Bombyx mori: one gene and its partners. The protein of the gene in region 1 purifies or fractionates together with the protein of each later gene. This does not show direct contact. Links are inferred from orthologs where the notes say so. Each region holds a gene or a part of one and is shown in the gene's direction. Other genes may lie near its edges. The genes, in order: E3 ubiquitin-protein ligase NRDP1, protein CLEC16A homolog and calcyclin-binding protein.

What was found.
Region 2: the proteins of E3 ubiquitin-protein ligase NRDP1 (region 1) and protein CLEC16A homolog purify together in Homo sapiens (affinity purification with mass spectrometry; 3 studies listed by BioGRID and IntAct, with this or other methods). This does not show direct contact. The link is inferred for Bombyx mori from reciprocal best matches to the Homo sapiens genes RNF41 and CLEC16A.
Region 3: the proteins of E3 ubiquitin-protein ligase NRDP1 (region 1) and calcyclin-binding protein purify together in Homo sapiens (affinity purification with mass spectrometry; 4 studies listed by BioGRID and IntAct, with this or other methods). This does not show direct contact. The link is inferred for Bombyx mori from reciprocal best matches to the Homo sapiens genes RNF41 and CACYBP.

What each region holds. Positions count from the first base shown.
Region 1 is NC_085128.1:13,443,150-13,450,080, forward strand, and holds the start of E3 ubiquitin-protein ligase NRDP1, read left to right. Parts: upstream 1-2,940; 5' UTR 2,941-3,146; coding exon 3,147-3,236; intron 3,237-3,307; coding exon 3,308-3,450; intron 3,451-4,899; coding exon 4,900-4,982; intron 4,983-5,867; exon of another isoform or gene 5,868-6,093; coding exon 6,094-6,299; exon of another isoform or gene 6,300-6,575; coding exon 6,576-6,734; intron 6,735-6,931. UniProt on the Homo sapiens protein: Acts as E3 ubiquitin-protein ligase and regulates the degradation of target proteins. Polyubiquitinates MYD88. Negatively regulates MYD88-dependent production of pro-inflammatory cytokines.
Region 2 is NC_085123.1:11,735,125-11,741,469, forward strand, and holds part of protein CLEC16A homolog, read left to right. Parts: intron 1-57; coding exon 58-196; intron 197-1,037; coding exon 1,038-1,198; intron 1,199-1,845; coding exon 1,846-2,004; intron 2,005-2,917; coding exon 2,918-3,059; intron 3,060-4,640; coding exon 4,641-4,743; intron 4,744-5,389; coding exon 5,390-5,525; intron 5,526-6,345. UniProt on the Homo sapiens protein: Regulator of mitophagy through the upstream regulation of the RNF41/NRDP1-PRKN pathway. Mitophagy is a selective form of autophagy necessary for mitochondrial quality control.
Region 3 is NC_085109.1:7,246,455-7,253,588, reverse strand, and holds calcyclin-binding protein, read left to right. Parts: upstream 1-2,752; 5' UTR 2,753-2,929; coding exon 2,930-2,953; intron 2,954-3,082; coding exon 3,083-3,299; intron 3,300-4,541; coding exon 4,542-4,748; intron 4,749-4,919; coding exon 4,920-5,082; intron 5,083-5,479; coding exon 5,480-5,573; 3' UTR 5,574-5,646; downstream 5,647-7,134. UniProt on the Homo sapiens protein: May be involved in calcium-dependent ubiquitination and subsequent proteasomal degradation of target proteins. Probably serves as a molecular bridge in ubiquitin E3 complexes. Participates in the ubiquitin-mediated degradation of beta-catenin (CTNNB1).

The sequences.
Region 1 (6,931 bases):
TGGCAAACCTTGAAAATCGGAAATCATAGATATGATAATGTGAATCTTCTTATCGTGAAAAATCTTTGTGCTGATATAATTATTGGCCATGACGTCCTCGAAGAACATTCATCGCTAGAGTTCTCTTTCGGTGGGCCAAAACATCCACTTCAAGTATGTAACGTAGCTGAAGCATCAGTACCAGCTGTACCGCTTTTTGCGAATGTATCTCCCAACTGCAAACCTATTGCTATAAAGTCTCGAAGGCACAACAAAGAGGATAGTGAATTTATTAAAGAAGAAATCAGAAATCTTATAGCAGAGGGCGTGATTGAAGAAAGTAAATCACCGTGGAAGGCCCAAGTACTAATAACAAAAAGCGAAACTCATAAAAAACGCCTTGTAATTAATCAATTACAAGGCGTTCTTCAGTAATCACTCTCAGACAATTAATCGTTACATAGAACTCGACGCGTATCCTTTACCAAACATTGAGGACTTAGTTTCGAAAGTGGCAAAGAATATATTTTTCAGCCTAATAGACCTAAAAAACGCGTACCATCAAGTACCTATACTACCCGAAAAAAGAAAATTTATCGCTTTTGAAGCACTGGGAAATTTGTACCAGTTCAGGCGTATTCCTTTTGGAGTAACAAATGGTGTTTCGAGCTTCCAACGAACAATCGATTGGATTATAAGAAAAGAGAAGCTTCAAAACACATATGCGTATCTTGATGATATAACTATTTCTGGCCGTACTCTTGAAGAACACGATCATAACTTAGAAAGTTTTATGAATGCCGCAAAGAAATACGGTTTAACACTGAGTATACAAAAATGCAAATTTTCTCAAAAGTCAATTAATATTCTAGGCTATAATATTCAAAACCACATAATTAAACCTGACAATGAGCGACTCAAGCCACTGATTAATTTACCTCCACCAAGCGATTTACCGACCTTAAGAAGGACACTCGGCATGTTCGCACATTATTCTAAGTGGATTCCAAAATTTTCTGAACGGATCCACTCACTTGCTAATACGACGATTTTTCCACTCGCAAGCGAGCAAATTAAATGTTTCGAAGGCTTGAAAAATGATATCGTAAAGTCTTCTATACATGCAATTGATGAAAATATACCTTTTACAGTGGAAACTGACGCTTCCAATCATTCCATTGCAGCAGTACTTACGCAAAATTCTAGACCAGTGGCGTTTTTCTCAAGAACGTTAAATTCAAGCGAACAAAACCATTCCGCCATTGAAAAAGAAGCGTACGCCATTGTGGAATCATTGAAGAAATGGACACATTTCCTTATTGGTAGACACTTTAAGTTGGTAACTGACCAATGCTCGGTTTCTTTTATGTTTAATATGAAACATTCAAGTAAGATAAAGAATGAAAAGATTCAAAGATGGCGACTGGAACTTGCTGCTTTCAAATACGATATTATATACAAACCGGAGAAAGAGAACTATGCTGCTGATGCACTATCCCGAGTTTGTGCCACTGTAGAAACACGTACTGCAAAACTTTTCTCGCTGCATGAAGCTCTTTGTCATCCAGGGGTAACAAGAATGTTTCACTGGGTTCGCTCTAAAAACCTTCCCTATTCTATTGAAGAAGTCAGAACAATGACAAAATCTTGTCGAACCTGCTCTGAAATAAAACATAGATTCTTCCGAAATACCTTTGATGACCAGAGGAAACTTGTTAAAGCGACGGCTGCTTTTGAACGCCTTAGCATAGATTTTAAAGGACCAGTTCCAACAAATAATAATAACAAATTCATACTTACCGTGATTGACGAATTTTCACGTTTCCCGTTTGCATTCCCATGCTCAGATGTAAGCTCGAAAACAGTGATTAAGCATCTTAACAACTTGTTTATGATATTTGGGATGCCTTCTTACGTTCAATCAGATCGCGGAACAGCATTTCTTTCTGCTGAAGTACAGGAATTTTTACATGTTCGAGGTATTGCCACTAGTAGAACTACAGCTTATAACCCTCAAGGTAACGGTCAAGTAGAAAAATTGAATTCTACTCTTTGGAGAACGATTCTTTTGGCGCTGAAGACGAAGAATCTTTCGGTAGAAAATTGGGAACAAGTATTACCACAAGCCTTACATTCAATCCGATCATTACTTTGTACAACCATAAATTGCACTCCACATGAAAGAATGTATAGACACCCTCGAAGATCTACAAACGGCACTTCTGTTCCATCGTGGCTTACAAATTCTGGACAAGTCTTGATGAAGAAATTTAATCGTACAAATAAATATCAGCCATTAGTAGAAGAGGTTGAATTGATACACAGCAATCCTGATTTTTCATACATTCGGCTTCCAGATGGCCGAGAAACAACAGTGTCGAATCATCATCTAGCACCATTGGGTTCAGAAAGGGTAGATCTGCGAATAGATAATGAACACACTATTGATTATCATAACGTCGCAGAACCACTTCCGGAAACAGAAGACCAAAACTTGGAGATTCCTTCATCTAATAAAACGGGACCTGTGGTACTTGATAATAACAGAGAGCTAGAGACAGAATTACCATCATCACCACCGCCGGAGCCAACACTTCGTAGATTTGGTCGCGTCCATAAAACGCCAGGATTTTTAAAAGATTATGTTTTAAAATAGTGCGGGAGAATGATGTAAACTTCTTAGTTGAAATTATCAGCCATAAGTTGACGTCATTGTCAATCTGTTTTATTCGTTATTTGTCAATGTACCTAATGTAATCAAAGCAAATTTTACTGTTAATTTTAGCTTATTAAAACCTTATATTTAGTAAAGGTTTTCTCTTATTACAGGGCTCTTGTGCTGTAATTGGAAAACGGCCATTTAGTTTTTTGAACCTGATAGCACCGATTAATAAAACAGCTTTTGTACTGGCCTAAAGGTCTAATAGATACCAGGTCATAAAATTAAAAAAAAAAAAGCTTTTGTACAGTAAACCTGAGTCTCTAATATATTAAGTGTATAATCTATGAACCTGAGTAAACCAAATCTATACGTCTGACTGTAAATAATTAGTTTATTTTCAACTTATCTGAACTCAAACCTTGTTTTTTACTATAGTATGATCATAAAAAGTTAACTTTAAGATACCAAAATCTTACTAATGTATATTTTGTGATAAATATTAATTATGGGCTTTGAAATCAAAAGGTTTCAAGGTGACGTCGATGAGGAGCTTATTTGTCCTATTTGTTCCGGAGTCCTCGAAGACCCGTTACAGGTAAATAATAGCAAGATGAGTGCAAAATATAACAAAAGTTGTGGTTAGAGTGACAATTGTGATGATTCCAGGCGCCTGCTTGTGAGCACGCGTTTTGTCGAGCTTGTATTACGGAGTGGATCAGTAGACAGCCTACCTGTCCTGTAGACCGGCAAACGGTAACCGCGAGTCAGCTAAGGCCAGTTCCAAGGATACTGCGCAACCTTCTGTCCAGGCGAGTGAATTTCTTTACTAGAATTTGTGAATTTACTGTCTTTTTGTAGGTCAAAAACTTAATTGTTTGACCTTTTATAACTATAATGTTTTCTTCTAGCCACTAATATAGTATTTTTCAATATTTTTATACCTAAAAATTGAGTAGTAACTTTAGTAGTACTGTGTTTTGTACTTTAAACAGTAGTTTAATTAATTTTTAGAATGGATTATAGTCAATAATAAAATGTTCAAATTCATTTTAAAATTATGGTAAACAATAGACTCTTATCAGAAAATATCCGCAAAAATAAAGTAATGAAAAAATTTTTTCCTTTTGATTATTATTCAATAGTAATTATTTAAGCTTTAGGTACAATAACCTTTATCTTAATTATGCAAAGAAAACAATTTCATAATACACATTTAAATTGATTGCTACATTAACTGGAAATGATCTCGTCAACTGACCTAGTTATGTTGTCACCACATTAATAATCAGCACAAAACCAGTTCTCTGGTTACATAATAACATGGTCCTGGTTTTCTATTTATTAGTAACTATGGTCATTCCTGCCACATTGAGTTTTTACTTGAAGAAAAAACATGGATAACAAAAAACCTTTCATAACTAAAAAGGATTGTTTTTCCCTGAAAACTTTTCTTAAATTACTGCAAAATTATGTTTAAAATTTTAAGTAATTGGTTTAAGTGAAATTGCAATCAAAATGTGTTTAGAAGAGATTTGTTTGTTTTTAAATGGTTTGGTTAAATGGTTTTAAATGGTTTATAGAAATATGGCCATATCAATATCCATTCAAGCTCATATTCCAAATTAATGTTATCACACTATGGAAACTAAAAATGGGTTTAGACGTGATCAAAGATGTAAAAACATACCAGGAATACCTATTATATTTGTATATTTATAATCAATTGCCACATTGATTATGGAGTATCAAACACTTGATAGATTTTGCTGTGTTCATAATTATCAGGACCAAGCTTGCTTGAAAGCTTTATTTAGATTTTTTTTTTTTGTGCTTGAAGGTGATTTAGTCTCTGAGTACTTTAACACTCTCTGTACACACTGTAACATCCAGATTCTTTTACATTGTCATTGTAGGTAGATGAGCATATGGCCCACCTTACGGTAATTGATTGTTAGCATGGACATTAGCAATGCTGGTGGCACAGTCAAGTTATAGCTGATCGCTGAGTATCTCTAATTTGTTTGTGGACTGGAGTTCATTCCAGAGTCTTATGCTACATGGCATAAAAGATCTGTGGAAATGCACTTTTGATGAACACAGGAGTTCCAGATAGCATGGATGAACTCCGTTCCGGTGGCCAATGGCCACATCAATGATATGAATGAATGAGAAAAAATGAAACCTGAAATCTTTCAATAATGAAAGTTTTTACTTAATTAGAGTTTAACATCATAATCTTATTCAATTATGTTTTTCAGATTATGCACAAGTTGCGACAATGCTCCACATGGCTGTAATGCCATTTTAAAACTGGACTCTCTACCTAATCATTTAGTTGAATGTAAGTGTTGACTTTTACTATCCTTTTTAGAGTAGACCAGAGCATGCTATGGTATGCATCAGAACAATAATATTTTTTATTGCTAATATGGGTGGACGAGCTCACAGCCCACCTAGTGTTAAGTGGTTACTGGAGCCTATAAACATCTACAACGTAAATGCGCCACTCACCTTGAGATTGAGTTCTAAGGTCTCAAGTATAGTTACAACAGCTGCCCCGACCTTCGAACCGAAACGCATTACTGCTTCATAGCAGAAATAGGCGGGGCGGTGGTACCTACCCGTGCGGACTCACAAGAAGTCTTACCACCTTCCTAAAATTATGCTATATGATGTACATACATCTATGTGGTTTGTAGAGTAAATTTGTAATGTTGGCTATTTATGTTTGATAAAGTAATAGAAAATAAATGTAAGAAAATTAATTAAGACAAATAGGAATTAATACAAAAGATATTGTAATAAAATATGTAGTACAAAGATGATTTAGCTAACTTATTTAAAATAATTTTTAGAGAATACCTCACCTCAAGAATTAGATTCATTTCAATTGCTTGTATATTTTCTTATTTATTTTTTTCTATAAAAAATGAGAAGGAATCTGTTTCCAATAATTTTTTATTTATAACACCAAAGCTTGTATTGACAAGCTACTAAATAAAAACGAAAAGTAAATTGCTGGATAAACAGGGAAAGAACTAAACTGAACATTACTGAACTGTTTTGTCTTCATCTATAGACTATATCTTTAAAGGTGTACTTTAACTAAACTGCCTATCATGGAAATATGTTTTTTAATAGCCATATTTGTATACCAATTGTACTGTAGAGCTTGTCAGTTTTGTAAATCATACATAATTATGATAAGGAAAAAAAAACACCAATATCCAATTATGATATGTGAGATTAGTTTATTGACACATTTCTAAGGCCCATTTCTAATAAGACACACTTTCATTAACTTATTCTTAAAAAGTCGTCTATTTGTGTAAATTATTTTATTTATTGTAATCGAAATTGTAAAAAATATAAACCATAAATAATTTGTTTCTGTTATGAAATTATGTCCGTGTTTGATAATACATGGCTAATAAGATTAATCTGTCGAACAGGTGAATTTAATCCTAAACGACCAATACCTTGTGAGGCAGGATGTGGACTGGTGATACCAAAAGATGAATTAGCCCAACATAATTGTGTACGTGAGCTTAGAGCACTGATAGCCACTCAGCAGGGGAAGCTGAATGATTACCAGCAAGAACTGGCTGAACAGAGGCTCGTTATTAATGAGCACAAACGAGAATTGGCATTATTAAAGGTATGTTTTTTTACTATTTGTAGTTTTTTCTTAAATAACACATTCAATGTAGATTCTTTCTACCTACGTATTACCTACATAAAAAGAAATGTGAACTTTAACATTATGTTAATTTATATTTATAAATATCAGTTAACTTGTTAAAGTTTAAACATAACAAACAATAACTTGGTCTCCTTAAGTTAAAAAATTTCGATTAATCGAATTCTATAAAGCAACCATTAAAATGAGATGCGCAAATCTAACCACTTTTAAATCAGGAACATTTTCTTGAAGGAGTTCATGAGAGCGATGCGCGTGTCGAATCCAACGATGCGTGCATTGGCGGATCAGATGGAGCGCGAGGAGGTGGTGCGCTGGGCCAACTCACTGGCCAGGGCGAGGGTCACCAGGTGGGGTGGCATGATCTCTACTCCAGATGATGTTCTGCAGGTATTATGTACATTTTTTAATAAGATAAAAGTAATTCTCTATAATGTAAGAAAAATTCGTATCAGCTTGCATTATATACAGATCGCAACGCGAGTAGGTACATCGAATGTTTTAGGACTTTTCAAATAATACCTAATCTGGCCACATGGAATCTGGCCACATGGAATCATTGATTTTGAGTCTTTGAAAACCAAAAAATA
Region 2 (6,345 bases), on another chromosome or scaffold:
CGAACTTAAGTTCTTAGCAACAGTTATAATATTTTTTCTTTTATGCCTCAATCTCAGATAGAGAGAGCCCGTAGAGCGATAAGATCGTTCTTCCTAATACGAGACCTGTTCTTGAAGTTGAGCGGGATACCAGAAAACCAACTGCCTCTGACGAACCCGGCACCGTTTGTCGAAGTCGGCAACGTTTTGGATCTCAGTAAGTCGTTTAGTTTACAGGTATAGTGATCTGGTCCGTACGTCACGATATAAGGACCTTTGTCTTACGAAAACAAGACAAAGAAGCTTTGCGTTAGATTTTCGGAGTATTTACAGTTAGGCGGTCATTGGGTGAATGGCGTTGCCAATATTGAAACCGGAACGCACCAGTGCCTTTATGCCGAAGCAGCGTATTGGTACATTCTCGTGCAAGATCATGTGCGAACACTTGTATTAGTAAAAAGGAGGGTGTTTTGGGCATTTAATTGTTTTTTTCTGGGTTCACCGGGTTTTGTCCGATGGAACGGAAACGCTTAAATAAAAACATCCTGCCTATTTGTGATTAAATGTACTTAAGTAGCTTTTATAATTAACTAACTTTTGCCCACGACTTCGTTCGCGTGGAATAGTTCACAAATAATGCTTTATTTTAGAACAAATTTGGTTAGCATAAAAAACGTTATAGTGAGCCAACCTTAACATATAAACATATGCCGTCGCAGACTTTTTTTAAAATCTTTTAAAGGGGAGCAATTCTGTCATACATTGTTTTAGCGAAACTTTAACCGTTTCTGCAGCGTATGCAGCGGAAGCTCTTAAAAAGGGAAAAAAACCCGATTTTGAAACATTCTTATTGATGCTCCGCTTGTATTGGCCTTAGCGTAATGTTATATAGCCTATAGACTTCCTTAATAAATAGGCTATCTAACACTGAAATAATTCTTCAAATCGGACCACTAGTTCCTGAGATTAACGTGTTCAAACAAACAAACTCTTCAGCTTTATAATATTAAGTATAGATAATAAATATGTATAGTTGTAATGAGTATTGAATTTTGCAGACGATTCCGATCTGATATCGTGCGACATAATACAGAAGGATGGTACGTGGCAGCACAGGTTCTTAGCCGTCGACAACATGCAGATAATACTCGTCGAGCCGGACAAACAGAGGCTCGGGTGGGGAGTCGCCAAACTGGTGGGCAGCCTTCAGGATTTGGAGGTAACTTTGATGGAATGAAAACGTTTAGGTACGTCGAAGAAATCCGTAATAAATTTTTTTTAATCGACAATTGGTAACACTTTTTTAATTATGAGTACTGGCAACCCCAAACTTGTTAATGTGAAATCAACATCTGTAAATGTGAAGTATATATAGGTTTCATTCTAAGACGTCTGATTAATCTTAAATGTGTATTAATAGATCTAAATATTTCCGGAATAGGAGTAGAGTAGATTAAAATGATAATAATTAAAAACAAAAAAATGTTATTCAATTAATGACAATTGATCTCGCGTTTTTATTGTTATTATTTTCGACGTTTCGAATGCTTTACGACTTGCGAATGGCGAAGAAAAACGAAATAGCCCTTGTTCGAGTTGATATCGCGTGTATCTTTAATATGCGCTTTTTTTAAATAGCTTAGATGGGTTGACGAGCTCACAGTCCACGCTGTTAAGTGGTTACCGGAGCCCATAGACATCTAGAACGTAAATGCGCCACCTACCTTGAGATATAAGTTCTAAGATCTCAAGTATAGTTACAACGGCTGCCCCGCCCTTCAAACCGAAACGCACTACTGCTTCACAGCAGGGTGGTGGTACCTACCTGTGCGGACTCATAAGAGATCCTACCCACCGTCTGTTCAGATCCAAGGCGATAAGGAAGATCCGCGGTGCCTCCACCTGACCATCCACAAGCCGCGGGTGGGCGCGACGGGCGCGCTTCCCAGGACGCTACTGCTGCGGGCCAAGTTCAAGTTCGACGACTACATACGCAGCATGGCGGCCAAACAGAGGCTCATTAAGGTATACGATATATACTAAGTTAATATTACTTACTGATGTTTGACTAGCCGACGCCTACGCGCGCATTGCTGTTAGCGTGGATCTATATGTTACTTATGACGACGCTTGCAGCTGAAAGTAAGTATTGTACTTTTTGACGAAGCACCTTAAGAGCTGATAACTCTATTTCTGTAATCTGACGAAGCGTGTTGCGGATAATAACATGTACTTTTAGGTTAGGAATATTATGTTCTTTTTTTTATAAATATTTGACATTTAATAAATTTAATGATTTATACGGTATTATAAAAAAAGAAAATTGTAAACACAATGTTAAACTGAGAAAGTTAAGTTTGATTTCAAGTTGGTGTTTACATTAGAAATGTAGGCTCAGTAAATTTACAAGGGTCGCGGCTCTTAACGCATCCCCATTGCACGTAACATGAGTGCAAACAAACTATAAAAAAAATAGCCACAAGTGACATAATACGTCATGATCCGTATTCAGTTTGACGTAGATAATGGATAAAAAATGTAAGAATTTTTTGAATAGTTAGTCGAAATGTAAGCCTTTGTTTTAAAAGTACAGTGATTAAGTTATCAATTAACCGTTATCGTCGAACTCGGCAAAGAGTTTGACGTGTAACCTAACCCATGCATCCGCCCGCTGTTTCTCGCCGGATCTTCTCAGCGGGTCACGATTCCGACCCGGTAGTAGATTCTTTCGCGAAGCAGTTGCTTTTCAGTTGTTATGTCTCCTTCGGAGGCACTCAGGCAGTTGCTAGCTAACCCCAGTCCTCCTGATTGAGCCTTTGCTCGCCCACCTATCCTGGTGAAACTGGAAAGGCCTCCGGGCCACCAGTAATCTTTCAATCATCGCTCTCCGATTAAGATCAGAACCTTGATGAGTTGACTGGATGTAAATAATTGACAGGGTCGCATGAAGTCCCGCCAGAAGAAGATGCAGCAGATCGGGCGACTGCTGGAAGTGTCGGGAGTGTCCGCGCCCCCCGCCGCGCCGCGCCCCCGCCCGCTGTTCTCCCGCCCCGGCCTCTCGGCGATCAGGAGATCTACAGGTTCCGTACAATTGCACGTTCTATCCAAACACAATTCGTCTTTTCTCATTGAAAGTGTACAATTTCCAAATTCGAAATTGAGTATTAACTCAATTTCGAATTTGGAACAGGAAAACTAAATAAAATAAAAAAACTAAAACTAAACTACGCTCTTTTGAGAGTATTTATGAAAAAAATACTGGTGATAACCAAACGATTCCGCATAATATTAATTATTAATAATATTTAATTTTAAATTAATAATATTTAATAATTAATATTATGCGGAATCGTTTTATTTTAAATTAATAATATTTAATAATTAATATTATGCGGAATCGTTTGGTTATCACCAGTATTTTTTTCATAAATACTGTCAAAAGAGCGTAGTTTAGTTTTTAGTTTTTTTATTTTATTTAGTTTTCCTGTTTTGAATACTATTAACAAAATTAATAGATAATTTTATCTTACTTTTAAATACAGATAATGTAACTGGTAAAAAATAAAAAATAAATGTTGCAAAAATGATTAATATTAAAAATATCACATGTTGTTTAACACACTTTAAAACACTCTCCTGTAAAATTAGTAAGTTTTCGTGCTGCCATCTCTCGGGAATCGTGCTGCGTTTCGTTTAGCTACCAAACTATTGACCGTCTCCGACATATATCTATATATTAATACGTGAAGCAAGAACTTTGTACCCCTTTTTACGAAAATTGCGCAGACGGTGGAGTATGAAATTTCCCACACTTATAGAGAATATAGAGAAGGCTGTGAGCTCGTCCACCCATCTAAGCAATAAAAAAAAAAAACATGTATTTGACACACACACACATGCGTACTATTTGTTTATGGTCAAACTTTTCTTATTGCATAAAGTCTATCTATGGTCAAATCGAGAATAGATTTAATATTTTTTGTCTTTGCTATTATTTGTCTAAAGTGTAGTCTTGGCGAAATCTTTGATTATAGAAGTATAATAGTCTTTGACAATAGAACTATAATAATGTTCAAACTATAATTTCAATGAATTATAGTCGAATTACGACTACTGCGGGACCACTAGTAAAGATAAAAAGCCAGTCAAAGAGCAAACAACCTTGTTCATCGCACGAGCGTTTGCTCGATGCACTAAAGTATTTTTTTTAAGGGATTTTATGACCTGGTAACTGAGACCTTTAAGCCATGTCTTATTTTAATTTATATTCATATTTTTATGAAAAATGATATTATGGAGTGAAATGAAATGAAGATGATTAATTTGAGACATGAATCAACTGGGATTAAATGAAATGAAATGAAATGAGATGATATGGCATGAAATATAATCTCAGTAAAATTGTGGTCATTTACTAAGATTTTATCAGTGGACTTTTTGGAGGATCCCGAGAAGTTACGTCCAGCGGCTTTGTTTCATTTTCCCACATTTGTTCACTTTCACAAATATTAAACAGTTAATAAACCACCATTATTACACATTTAAACCCGAAAAAACACTAAATAGGCAAAATAAAACAAATCACACAACTTCACTCCTCACGTTCCCGCCAAAAAGTCATGCACTAAAGTACCCTATGTAACCTTGAAATTTCCATAAAGGAGGCGACGGCGACGACTCAGAGCGGAGGCTCCGAAGGCCGAGCGGTCACTTACTGAAAGACGGCATCGTCGTCTATCGAGAACGAACCACGAGCAGAGAGAGGTCGGTACACACCCACACCTGTTGAATTCAAATTTAACTTTTAAAGTATGCCTAAATCAAGTCTCTCTTAACTGATACTCAATTTGCGTACGCAACTTATAATCATTAAAGATAATAAATAATATTATGTATATCTTCTCGCTAAATGCATTTATCAAACGACTTTGTTACTGTAATGCCTAGTGTTAGACATTGATATTGTACTACGTTAAATTGAACAATGACGTCATTTTACACGTCGGTCATACAATATATTTCAAAAATGATTTTCTGTAGACCACCCCTGTCCTCCAAACTCTACTAAAATTAATTATGCTCTCTTTCTATTTTTTATAACTCTACACCAATTAAAATTATTTCCTAAATAGATGAGTTGTATTTAATTCCTTTCACAACTGTGTGATTCTTAATAAATATTAACTATTAGTATAATATTATTAAATATTAATATATAAATTATACTATTAGTATAATATTATTAAATATAAATATATAAATTATACTATTAGTATAATATTATTAGATAAAACTGCAATTTTCTTTTGAGCATACTAAATAAATTTCAATAAATATCTGTTTGGCAGCTTTTTATTATTTTGTTAATATAGTCAAACAGGTGTATTGACACTATGTGTTGCCATTCCAGTAGCGTGTCGAGAGGAAGCAGCGGTTCCCGAGAGGGATCTCCGAGGGGCCACCAAGAGGAAATACCACTCGAAGATATACGGAGGAACGTCGCCTCCACCAGCGCCGCGACTCCAAATGTCGTACCGCAGATAAATGTAATTGGAAGATATAAATAATAATTCACTTAATAACAAAAAAGATTTCAGCTGCAAAGTTTGAGAACCGTCACGTCGCGTCATGTTCATTATTATCATGACACCTGGCTGTATGGACTAAAGTCCTTTGCCTTTCCCGTTAGGGATAAATTAATATCATCATATTATCATGACAATTTAATGTCAAGAAACTATTCAATGTGAGCACTTAAAATGGACTGTATAATTTCGTCCATATTAAAAGATATAAACGAACGTATAAGAATTATTTAAACTACAATTTCCTCAAAATGAAACCTTACGGTGGTATGCCAATAGTCAAATGTTCATTTGATTTTAAAGAAAGTATTTATCGGTCGTACCAGATGGGAATCCTTTTATTTTTATTTTTAAGTACTTTACAGTTACAGTTGCAGTTACATTTACTTTACAGTTACAGCTATGTTCGATCTTTATTTAATGTAATCTGTTTCTCGTATTTGCCAAATTTGTTTTCGTAAAGAAAAAAGGCCTTAGCACGAGATAGGTTGACTATACCTAGCTACGTTTGGCATGATGTCGTCCGTTGATCTTTTAACACGTATTAAATAAAAAATCCATTATATTGCTACGCCGGTAAGAGTAACGCCACCTATCGCCGAATAGTTGAAACGAATATCAAAGGAGCTAGTAACGTCAAGAACGCTCGAGAAGTACAACGCCATCTGTTGTCTGATAGCGGAAACACATCGAAGTTACTCGACTTGTGAAGAATGTTGTCGATAAATCTAGGGATGTCGTAACGACTATAAAAGCGTCGAAGTCGTGAGGAACGCAGTCA
Region 3 (7,134 bases), on another chromosome or scaffold:
TCAAAGAATTTTTCTATAATCAGTTTAATTTAGGCTTATTTTATGGCTGTGTTCGTTTCCCCTAGAAAACAAATCCTTTTCTGCATATACGCTTAAAATATTTATACATACATATAAAGTTTTTATAATACTTTTTTGCATTGATTTGCCACCACCATTGAACAATTCTAGAATTTTTATAAGGGTTCTATATTTCTTATCCTCTTTCTTTCGCGACAATATATATCCATTGTGCACAGCGAAAAGGAGCTACTAGGAAATCTACAAACAAAAATAACATTATAAAATAACAAAACTACTCTATGCATTCCCTGTTCAATAATAGGTGATGTTTGTTACAATAGTTGGTGCCTTGTTGCAAGCATTGGCCAAACAATGACAATATTCGTAAATTGAATTTTATTTACTATATAATTCTTTTTATTATTTTATGAAATTCGTTTTATAATATAAACTTACCAAAAAAAGATATTCCTTCCAAAACCTTGGTGTTACGGTAGTTTTTTACTCAGTTTTTGAACGCGCAGTGCAGCGTTTTGACGTCTTAATGTTGGCTATGATTGGACCATACTAATTTGAAATAAGACCACAAATAAATTTGTGGTCTTATTTTTCGGGCCGTTTTTGAAGCGTTAATCGCGAATCTAGTAGTATTATTGATCGAAGTTTCGAACGAAATGTGGGCGATTGCGTAGTGTTAGTATGTACTAAGAACGCATGCCTACCTGCTACCTTGCTTAGACGGCCAATTTTCAGGTATCAGGTACTCAAGGTACATAAAATCATGACCTACTTCACGTATCTTCTGAAAGCTGATTTTTACGTATATTTTAGGCAATATCCTTAAAAATAAGTCGCCAATACTCCCAGACACTTTCCGTCGGCCGAATTGCTTTGCAGATGCTCTAAAGGGCCAATCATCCCTTAGATTCAATTTAATACCCTGTGGCGCATGAGACTGAGTGAGACATGTATTAGGATATATTGACCTCTCTGTCTCTCTATATCTCACAGTTGACTCATATCAATTAATTATTAATATTAAAAGAAAATCAGTTAAAAATTAAACAATCAGGTAAATAATTACTCAAATTATATATGGGAATTGGCCCTATTTTTATATATGTAACGTAATGATTTTTTTCGATTTCGTATATTTTTTTTTATTTCTTTAGTAGGCAGACGAGTACACGGCCCACCTGATGGTGAGTGGTTACCGTCGCCCATGGACTTCAGCAATGCCAGGGGCAGAGCCAAGCCGCTGCCTAACTATACATAATTAAATATATTTTTTTTTACCCGGGAGGATAAAATTCAAGAATAATGGTAGTCAAATGAGCATTTTTTTACAAATTAATTTTTAATTATTTACCTGTTTATTTAATTTTTAACGATTTTCTTTTAATATTAAAAATAAGTCGCCAATACTCTCAGACACTTTCCGTCGGCCGAAGTGCTTTGCAGACGCTTTAAAGCTCCCAAAATAATGACCTTACTTCATGTAAATTCTGAAAGCTGATTTTTATATATGTCCACCAGACAACTATTTTAAAACCTGTTACAAAAAGACAGACCGATCCAAGGGGCCAATCATCCCCTAAATTCAATTTAATACCTCTGTGGATAAGAGCGCGAGAGCGCATTATCCACGCGCATGAGACTGAGTGAGACATGTATTAGGATATATTGACTTCTCTATCTCTCTCTTACAGTTGACTCATATCAATTAATTATTAATATTAAAAGAAAATTAGTTAAAAAATTAAATAATCAGAAAATACGTGACATCTGGGGGCCCTGGGATCTTACTCTATAAAGAGCGCCTACAAAACGAGATTATTAAGTTCAAATATCTGATGAGGTGCCAACAAGCACAAGTGCAAGTGTAAGAAGAGAAAAATATGTACAATATTAAAGAAAAGAATGGGAAGAAGAATTTCCAGGCTGGATACTAAATAGTCGGTTTCCTTTGTTGTCTAATTTCATTTTTAATATTTTATCACTTCCCCATTCATCCGCTAACGTTGAACGCATATTTTCACATATTAATCTTTTGAAAACAAAACAGCAAAATAGGCTGCCTACTGAATCAATCACTGGTCTATTTAATGCAAAACGATTTTAATACAGCCAATTGTTATGATTTTGAAATTAAGTCGAAGAAGACCGTGCCTATGGCCAAAAATATTGGTATAAAAAATAATTATACATAGAATGATTGTTATAAATTAGTCTGTAAGTTTTTTTTCAATAAATCAACGAATTTTATTGAATATTGTATTTTTTTATTAAATACCGATTTTGGGTACATATATACCGATTTAACTGGCAACTATACCGATTTCGCTTTATGAGGGACTTTTTGGCGGAAACGCGAGGAGTGAAGTGGTATGATTTGTTTTATTTTGTCTATTCAGTGTTTCTTCAGGTTTAAATGTGTAATAACGGTGGTTTATTAACTGTTTAATATCTGTGAAAGCGCACAAATTTGGAAGAACTGTGGCTTTGTTTCAGCCACTGGTCGTAACTTCTCGGGATCCTCCAAAAACTCCACTAAAAATCTCAGTGACTCTAAATGACCACCATTTTACTAAGATTATATTTCATCCCAAATCATTTCATTTTATCCCAGTTGATTAATGTCTCAAATTAATCATTTTCATTTCATTTCGCTCCTCATTTTTAGATAAGTATAAGAAAATAACTAAAAATAAGACATGACTTAAAAGTCTTCATTACCAGGTCATAAAATCCTTAAAAAAATCGTTCTATGACGTTCGAGAGTAATCGAGAGCTCGAGCGAGATCATTGGCTTACTGTTCTAATATAAATAATCTACGTTACTGGACTTCAAAATAGCTGATTAACGTGCTTATTTGTGATTTCAAAAGATTTGCACAGCATACAAACAAACTGTTCATTTATAAAAATGTCAGAAGCAAAAATACAAGAGGTATTAATCACCCATCACTACATTCAGTAAATCAATGTAATCATCAATGTAAATCAAGTAAAATAAATCAGTAATTCATTAAAGACAATGAATGGAAATTCAATGTAACCTTCATTGCAATTTTTTCAGATAAGAAGCGATATCGAAGAGATCAATGATCTGTTAAAGCAAGCTAAACGTAAGAAAGTACAGGATTTACTCTCCTTGGAGATCAGAAAACTTGAGACAGAACTAATAACATTAAAAGAAAAGGAAACTTTGACGCCCATGGAAGTATCACCAATACCCACAACAAGTACATCAGCTCCAGTGCAAAAGAAGTATCAAGTCAAATTGAATGTATATGGTCAGTAATTTAGAATCATATTAATATATCTAGAAGTCTCTGTAGATGAGACTTGTTATTTACAGCTCCTATGGCCAACCTTGTGCGAAAAGAGATAAGTTCCCTAAATCCTTAAATAAGTGAGTCTATAGTGTATGTTTATCAGAATGTTCTGCATAAATGGTCTAACCTATTAATTCTTATAGCTTAAAAATATATATGTATATATTATATGTAAAGCTAAGTAAGTATACGTCACAAACTGATAACTTTGTCTGTACCTGAAAAAGGTCTTAAATTTCTTACATAGAGAGACAACAAAGAGACTCAATACAAGCTCAATAGTTTTATCCTATGAGAAGTAATAAAAAACCAAAATCGCCACTAGCTTGAATTACTTTGTAGACCAGCCTTTCCCAAAGTGGGAGATAACGCCCCCTTGTGGGCACTGCAGGCTTAAAGGGGGGCGGTGAGAGACCCAGAAAAAAATGGGGGCATTGATTAGGGGCTTGGGAGGCGATTTGTAATTTCATCTAGGAAGACTTAAACACCAGATGAGTCATAGGTTATAGTGGTTTTTAAGTAGGTGAAAAAATAGGAGTGCTAAAAAATAATTTATTAACAAACTGGGCAGTAGACAAAATGGGTTTGGGAACCCCTGTTATATCAGTGTAGAATAACACCACCCCATCTATTTTTGTAAATGTTCTAAAAGGCAATTAAGAGCTGCGAATGAGCAAATGCTAGTAAGGTACATTATAAAACTTCATAAGTTTTTTTATAGCTTACATTAGTGAATGAGTTCATGCTTCATTGGTGTTATGTGGCTACCAGAGCCCATAAATATCAACAATATAAATGCCTCTACTTACCTTGAGACATACTAATTTTCAGTGTTTATTGTACAATAGCTACCCAAGCTTTCAAACCAAAACGCATTACTTCTTCAAAGCAGAAATAGATAGGGTCGTGGTACTTACCTTACTATACAAAGTACCAACATCTGGTCTATTTCTGTAGCAGACCAGTAATTCTTCCTGGTTTGAAGAATAAGATAGTTTACAATACAGTTGAGAATTTGACCTCATGTCTCAAGATATATGCAGCATTCAAATTGCTACCTCTGAACAGCAGCTACTTTTTCACCATCAGGTGGGACAAAAGCTCATTCACCTCATATAATTAATTTATTTTTTCTCAAGTTTACCTATTGAACTGTGGATATTACAATGAAATCGTAATGATCAAATTTTGTATTTGTAGGTTGGGACCAGTCGGATAAATTTGTTAAGGTATTTGTTGAACTAAAGAATGTTCATACACTACCAAAGGAACAGGTATATTGTAAATTGACAGATAAATCAATGGAGCTGCATGTGGACAATCTGGAAAATAAAGATTACTTGCTTGTTATTAACAAGTTATTGGAACCTATAAATGTGGCAGACAGTCATTGGAAACAAAAAACAGGTAATAAATATAATTAATTAATAAAAAATATACGTATACTCTGGTTTTTCATTCACATTGTTGACGATTACCTTTTCAAACATGCTTCATTTGTTATTTAAAATGGCTCAAATAACAAAAGAATATCTATGCTAATAAGGCATTTGACAATAATAACATTTCTTTTCGCAGATAAGGTAGTCATATTCCTTGCAAAATCTAATCCAAACACAACATGGTCTCATATGACTGAAATTGAAAAAAAATTTGAAGACCAACGTAATAACCGCTTGAAACCTGCCGAAACTGACAAGAAAGATCCACAAGATTCCATAATGAGTCTCATGAAGAATATGTGAGTACTATTTATTTAACTAGAAATTAATGGATACTTAATTAATATTACATTAATAGTATGTATGTATCTTTAACATCAATACTCTAAGAGGTTACTCAAAACTTTCTTGGTTCCTTTCCAATGAAGAATACTTTATGCTAACAGATGCCTGAGAATACCTCAAATCAGTATTTTAAGTATATGATTTTGTTGTTTGAGATTGAAAAACATTTAACAATGTTTATATGATGACCAATATGGTTTTTATGTATTTCTCATTTAATTTTCAGGCTTAATGGGGACCATTTGTGTTGTTAATGTCATTCTCATCTTAAACAAAAAAAAATTAGAACAACTATACTCTAACATCATTACTCTTATGTTCTAATACATGGGTAATTTATTTAATTTCCAGGTATGAAACTGGTGATGATGAAATGAAGAGAATGATCTCCAAGGCTTGGTATGAAGGACAGCAGCGTAAGAAAACTGATATAATGGATTTATAAACTAAACTCAGCATAAATTCTGAATTGTATTCTGTTAAGCAGTAAAGAAATCGTGTATTATTAAAAAGATTCAGTGTTTGTTTTATTTCTGCCCTCTTTGCAAACATTTTATCGCCCAACCTTCTCTAACTGCGACGCTTGATGGCTTCTATCTCTTTAACACTGCAGTACAGTGAAACAGTACCTCTTGATAAACATATCGACAACTAAAACAACTTTAAATTTTTCATTCAGTGTTCAAGAATATGTTTTGTTATCGAGCAACACTTCCGGCCTCACATAATAAATTATTTACGAACTTAGGAAATATATAGAACTTATTATTCTTATAATATAATTAGTAATTACATAATCAAGTAAATAGTTCATTCATATTTTCTTTATACTTATATTTTATTGGCGCCTTCCGCTTGACAGCTTCCGGCGCAATAAACCTTAATGTTATTTGTTACATAATTCGATATTATTAAATAATAATTGTACGTAAATAATCAGCAGAATAATTAAGATGAACAATGTTTAATATTACCTACTCAGTTTGTATTAAAATAGGTCAAGATGATTGTATAAATACCGGCGGTTAGCATATCTCGGTGGCATTCGTATTCTACCCACCATAACGTGTACTAAAGAGAATATATTATTTCGTGTGGATGTAAATTGTCTCAATTGTCACCGCCACCCTGAGGATCCGTTTATACTTCAGAAGCGGGATTATGCTAGGCCCATACATTGACGAATTTGAGACCGCTGAGAAACACAGGCGATACAAAATGCGACGTGTCACCCAAACCGATGCGGAGGTTATTCCAACGTTCCGGCCGGATGAAAAATCTAGCAACGTCAAGGGATGGCTGCACAAGATCGACCAGTTGGATCACGTATATGGATGGGACAACAAAGACTGCCAGTTCATCATGCAGATATGTCTTCGTGGGTCGGCTAGGGATTGTGCGATACACCACCGCAACTATACTACACATCCGCGAATGGCTACCACATGGAGAAGGTGCTGTTGCTCCAGTTGCAAGAGGGACCGACTTTCAACCAAAGAAATGTTACGCCTGCCGAAGAGAAGGTCATGAAACAAAGAACTGCAAAGAGCCGCGCTGCGAGGTGTGCCATCGCCCGGGACACACGTCGGTTAGCTGATGGTATGCGGCCAGCTCTTCACACCCAAAAGTGAGTAATATCTTATTTACAACATACAGCGTATGCATAGATTTGCAAAAAAAAAATAGTGTTAATTAATGGCTCTAGTCTCATTGCATACATAGACATGGGCAGCAAATTAAATATTCTGTGTGGCATATGCTGATAAGTTAAAAAAATTAAAGATTGTCTTCCGTGGTTACAATGAGAGGTTTTGGAGGCTCATACTCGTCGACCTCTTTAGGAACATCCCCGTGAATGTTCATATAGACAACATTATTGTGGCTTTGTGGAAATAACGAATTACGACATCGCTGATATAGATTTAATAATCGGAGAATCAATGATTAATATCAATATCACAAAATTCTGTTAAATTCGTGGGTAGTAGTGAAACTTTTAATAGTAC